Linked DNA regions of Canis lupus familiaris. Each later gene encodes a partner of the first gene's protein in a complex. Links are inferred from orthologs where the notes say so. Each region holds a gene or a part of one and is shown in the gene's direction. Other genes may lie near its edges. The genes, in order: SCML2 and H2AJ.

Region 1 (2,868 bases):
TCAATAGTTTCTTAATCTTAAGTCTTTCTTGAACTAAAGGAGAAGACTTTTCTGTCTAAAATGTTAAAATGCCTTAGGCATGGCATGGTCTATACCATCATGATTTTCATTTGGGTTGAAACAGTGCAGTAGCATTTCCTGGTAGATGTGATCAGCATTTTTATCTCTGGCTGTGAAAGGGAAGATACATTTTAGTAAAGAGCTTTTTTTTTTTTTTTAACTTTTATTTATTTATGATAGTCACAGAGAGAGAGAGAGAGAGGCAGAGACACAGGCAGAGGGAGAAGCAGGCTCCATGCACCGGGAGCCCGATGTGGGATTCGATCCCGGGTCTCCAGGATTGCGCCCTGGGCCAAGGGCAGGCGCCAAACCGCTGCGCCACCCAGGGATCCCAGTAAAGAGCTTTTAGTTTACATCCAAGTTGTATATTGAAAGAGAAAATAAATACACTTTTGAGCTACACACAGGAAAACTTACCATTGTGAGTTCGTTTACCTTTTTTTCTTTGCCCTTTATCTGGGTAAATACTCAAAATACCCCTAAAATGGCTGGAGCCCAGGTGATAGGAAAGAAAAGGTGTATCTTTGGTTAATTCACACCAAAAAAAGACCAAATTTGTGTTGATGGTCCTTGTTTAAGGAAACAGATCTTCCTAGCAAATGACAAAACTCACTTCTGACACTAAGTAAAGAGTCAAGTGCTCTGGTTGTGTAAAATGAGTATTTGTCTGGACACAAATTACAGCACAACTTGGTAAACAGCACAGCTAAAACTTTTTGGGGGTAGGAGTGCATAATTTATTCTATGTCTCAATTATTTCTTTCTTTGACCTATAAACATTCAATCAGAATATCTATTACTATGCAATTAAACTTGAGAGAGGCATTCAGTATAATGTTAACTTTACTTCTGACCTAGCCAAGCAGAAAATCCTGTTTTCTTCAAAATTCAGATAAGCATTTAAGCCTTAAGAGACAGGAATTTAAATGGTAAAGTGATGCTATAAATAGCCACATTGAATACATGGGAGAGTTTCAGTAAAAACTAATTTGGTTCTCAAAGATAATGGGGTTATTGAAACTCACTGATTAAAGTGAATAAATTTAAGCAATTATAAAAACAAAATCTGGAGACTTTCCATTATATTTAGGTAGTAAAAGAAACCTAATCTACAAAGACCATGGGGAGAGAGATTGAAATTCATTGAAACACTTAAAGAGTAATAGGTTAGCTTACATTAACCTAATTTAACCCACACAACAGATCCTTTGCTGTCTTTGCCTGTGGCCAGCAAGGCCTCAGATTGATCAGTCTGTTTTACGATTTTTGAAGCTTTAAGGTAAATTCTGAAGCTGCTTTTGTTGTTTGGGGGAGGTCAGATGGGGTGCTCTTGGGTAGCCATCCTCAGGTCATTCTAATCTAGCCTTTGACTTGATTCTGCGCTTGGAGTCCTGGGTCCTTGCTGGGGTGCTTGATAGAAGGTTCCAGGAATGAGACCATTTCTCCCTACCTAACATCTCTTCTTTCAGGATAATGATCAGGTCAAGTATGATTTGTCTTTTTTCCCCCCCATTGAAGCTCCAAGTTATATAGCTGTACCCGACCCCAGTGTCCTGAAACAAGGCTTCTCTAAGGACCCTTCAACCTGGTCTGTGGATGAAGTGATACAGTTTATGAAACATAAAGATCCTCAGATATCAGGCCCCCTCGCCGACCTCTTCAGGCAACATGTAATGTATCTTTTGATCCGGTTTTCCTGCCGTAATGCCTTTCAATGACCTCTGTGCAGGCCCTTCAGTTGGATGGATGCTGATTAGTGTGGATGGTGGGGGAATCCTATCAACTGATTTTTTTTTCCATATATGAGAAAGGTTACTTGGCCCAAAGTTAGATTCTTAAACGATAGAGGCTGGATCTGTGCTTTATTTTATTTTTTAAAAGATTTTATTTATTTATTCATGAAAGACACAGAGAGAGAGAGGCAGAGACACAGGCAGAGGGAGAAGCAGGCTCCATGCTGGGAGCCTGACAGTGGGACTTGATCCCGGGACTCCAGGATCACACCCTGGGCTGAAGGTGGCACTAAACTGCTGAGCCACCGGGCTGCCCCATGGATCTGTGCTTTAAATGGGTACCCAAGTACCTAAAATACTACAAGTCTTCAAGCTCTCAAAAGAAGATGATTCAGCATGGCCACTCTCAGATGTCTTCTCCCACAAGGATCCTCCTCCCCACCTGCTCCCTGCTCGGCCCCAGGACCGTGAGTAGGAGGTGGTAACCACAAGCTGTGACAGGGTGTCCTCCTTGTTAATGATGCCCTATGAATCCAGCAACTGTGTAAGATTAAATGTGGTTTTATTTTAAATAGGAGCTCACGAATACCAAATAATATGCTTCTCTGACGTACATTGGTTAATTAAGGAAATAAAAAATTTTAGGAGGATGCCTTGTGTCTATTAAGTAATGTTTATAGTCTTTTCTAACAAATTAGTAACCAAATATCTTCCGTCCTTTTCGGTATTCTAAGAAAATCAGTAATTAGTTTTATCATTTAATTAGCTTAGCTTTAGACAACTAATTGATTAGTTTTCAACATAAAGACAACATTGTATAACACATTTACAGTTTGCATTGATGCTGACATCTTCATATTCCCAGCCTTTTTAAGAAAGTTAATGACCGTCTGAAATTGATTTCTACGATTCATAGTTTTCTACCCGTTGTCATAGATATGTAGTATTTTAATCAACACACAGTATTTAAAATCAGATAGTTTGATGCTTAGGCCATTTTTGAAAGATACTGGATTAAATTTCCTTTTTCTTAAAATTTGAAGTGAATTTAGAAATTATCAAATGATGTCTTACT
Region 2 (2,839 bases), on another chromosome or scaffold:
TTAAACCTGGGCAGCTCAGTGGCTGAGTATCTGCCTTTGGCTTAGGTCGAGATCCTGGGGTACTGGGATCCAGTACCGTATCTGGCTCCCTGCAGGGGACCCTGCTTCTCCCTCTGCCTATGTCTCTGCCTGTCTCTCTGTGTCTCTCTCTTGAATAAATAAATGAATCTTAAAAAACAAAACAAACAAAACAAAAACAACCTTACTTTGTTCCAAATGCTCTGGCTCTGCAATTTAGGTAAGGACGGTTGCTACTATTCTTTTGTCTTTTTCATGACCTCTGAGCGCCGCAGGGGCAGTAGAGAGCTGGAAAAAGGGACCACCGAGTGCCACCACAATGTCTTAGGCGACCTTATTTACCTCGGGGCTCCGAGTCTCCGTGGAGAACATGGTCAGCCCCGCAGTGATCAATAAGGAGGAAGCCAAGGCCCAGACTTTGTGTCTCAGAGACTGATCCTGCATCCTCCCCCTGGCATCCAGAGACTTTTCAGGCTCACAACGTCGAACACAAGAGACGTTGAGTTCTGGCTACGCGAGCTTGTTCTGCAGTCTGTGAAGAAAGCATTCGCGTCTAGTGCAGCGCTCTAGTTCCGCAGAAGCGAATACTGGCAACCTGGGAGCGGCAGGGCACGCGGGGAGCCCCGTGTCATTTGGTCTGGTTGAGAAAGTTCAGGTGGCCAGTCCCAGGCACCTTTCGGAGCCAGCTCTCCACACTGCTGGGCAAAGGGAGCATCTGGGCTTGCAGGAGACAGGCGCTGGTTTAGAGAAATGGCAGGCAGAGGAGCACTGTTGCCCCCCACCCCCACCCCCCCAAGCGCGGTGTCTGGAGTCAGGTTAACTAGCTGCTAGGATGCTGCTGTACTGTACGGTGCGAGGAAATCCGCCTCGCGGGCAGGGCACCGTGGGGAAGGAAGTGGGGCTCAACTTGCGGCCTCAGGTGCTTGAGGCTTTGGTCGCTTGAGTGCTTTATACTTGTACGGGGTAGCTCTTCCGGAGTTTGCAGTTTCTTTCTTTTTTTTTTTTTTTTAATTTTAAGTTTGATTGATTGATTGATTGATTTATTTATTTATTTATTTATTTATTTATTTATTTATTTGAGTTTGCAGTTTCTTAACCGTGGTTCCTTAATTCTTAAGACGTCCTTTTCCTAGGAGCGAACTTGGACCCTGAAACCTCAGGAGCCGGTGAAGTCAACGGAGGCTCCGGATGCGGGGCGCTGGGGTCCCGGGCATTCATAGGAGAGGCTTTGTAAATGAGGGCTGGGAGTTTGCTCCTTTGACTGGACAGAGCTGGAGAAGGAGGTGCCTCTGCCCGGAGCGCTGGTTGGGAGCGGAGCCTGCTTGTCATTGGTCCCAGAGCCCCAGATGTCGCTGCGTCCAATGGGAAGGCGCTGCCCAGTGTCAGCAAAGTGGCAGAGGCAGTTCCGGCGGGGTACGTTGCAGTGAGCCACTCGCTCAGACCCCGCGGCTGTGTCTCCCGCCCTCGCAGGAGTTGTAGGCGAGGAGGTAACCATGTCTGGTCGCGGAAAGCAGGGCGGCAAAGTGCGGGCAAAGGCCAAGTCCCGGTCCTCCCGCGCGGGCCTGCAGTTCCCGGTGGGCCGAGTGCACAGGCTGCTGCGCAAAGGTAACTACGCGGAGCGAGTGGGCGCCGGGGCGCCCGTGTACCTGGCGGCGGTGCTGGAGTACCTGACGGCTGAGATCCTGGAGTTGGCCGGCAATGCCGCTCGTGACAACAAGAAGACCAGGATCATCCCGCGCCACCTGCAACTCGCCATCCGCAACGACGAGGAGCTCAACAAGCTGCTGGGGAAAGTCACCATCGCGCAGGGCGGCGTCCTGCCCAACATCCAGGCCGTGCTGCTGCCCAAGAAGACCGAGAGTCAAAAGGCGAAGAGCAAGTGACCCTGACGCCGCCACAGGGGAGCTGGCTTCCCCAGCAAGGGCTCTTTTCATGGCCACCCCGCAGTATTCTTTTTTTTTTTTTTTTCCCCCCCAATATACTCGATGTCCTGGAAGGCTGGCGCGATCTAGTGGGGAGGTGGGTGGCAGGGGGCCCGCGGAGTCCGAGGCCAATAAAGTCGGTGAAAATCGTGTGGTCGAGAGAGCTATGTAGTGTCGGGGACCCTCCGGATGACCCGGGGGGCGACCAGGAGACCTCTGGAGCAGGTACTGGGGGGTCGGTTTCAGCCGCTTGTGGACTACTTGGGTCCGCACCCCCGAGGTGTTTTGTGGGCGGATGAGCGGGACCGCGGGGGGCGCACGGGCTGGAGGTGGGCAGAGCTGGGATCCCCTCTCGCCTTAAAGCAAAGGAGGGGCAGAGTGGGGTGCGCGTGCGGGGGCGGCAGGGGGGTTGTTTGTACGTCTCATTCCCAGGGCCTTCACTCTCCTGTCCTGTCTGGGCTGCTCCGGAGGACCCAGTTCCGGAGACGCAGTGGGGGGTTAGCTGGTGTCAAGCAGGAAGTTGGCTCCCTGACCGTACTTTTCAAAAGGTGGAGTAACTTTCCGTCTTGGAAAAGTAGACAGTGTCAACAGATTTTTTTTTCTCAGCCTGGTAGCTGTCGTGTTTTCATGTTTTGGATAGCAGGTTATTTTAATATACACGTTTATGTGCACATTTCTTTAAAATGAAGGGAACATCCAGTGATATGTATAATACAGAAGCATGAGTCATGAGTAAATTTGTTCCCCCAACACCCATGTTGCATAACAGTGCAGTGTCTTTAGTCATGAGCTACTTATGCTTAGGAGCTTTTTAAAAACGATTTTCTCATGATGGTCTTGTCCCCATCATACTATACTTCTTTGGAAATGTAATTAGTTTGATTTTGCTTCCTAACAAC

Evidence for each region.
Region 2: the proteins of SCML2 (region 1) and H2AJ are in contact, whole or in part, in a crystal structure (PDB 4EDU), measured with the Homo sapiens proteins. The link is inferred for Canis lupus familiaris from reciprocal best matches to the Homo sapiens genes SCML2 and H2AJ. Residues at the interface, in NP_006080.1 of Homo sapiens: Asp182, Asn185, Tyr187, Leu188, Cys190, Phe206, Trp209, Phe213, Pro239, Pro240, Gly241; in NP_808760.1 of Homo sapiens: Leu35, Arg36, Lys37, Gly38.

The regions. Positions count from the first base shown.
Region 1 is NC_049260.1:14,422,915-14,425,782, reverse strand, and holds part of SCML2 (sex comb on midleg-like protein 2), read left to right. Parts: intron 1-1,578; coding exon 1,579-1,730; intron 1,731-2,868. UniProt on the Homo sapiens protein: Putative Polycomb group (PcG) protein. PcG proteins act by forming multiprotein complexes, which are required to maintain the transcriptionally repressive state of homeotic genes throughout development.
Region 2 is NC_049248.1:14,343,545-14,346,383, forward strand, and holds H2AJ (histone H2A.J), read left to right. Parts: upstream 1-1,384; 5' UTR 1,385-1,511; coding exon 1,512-1,901; 3' UTR 1,902-2,092; downstream 2,093-2,839. UniProt on the Homo sapiens protein: Core component of nucleosome. Nucleosomes wrap and compact DNA into chromatin, limiting DNA accessibility to the cellular machineries which require DNA as a template.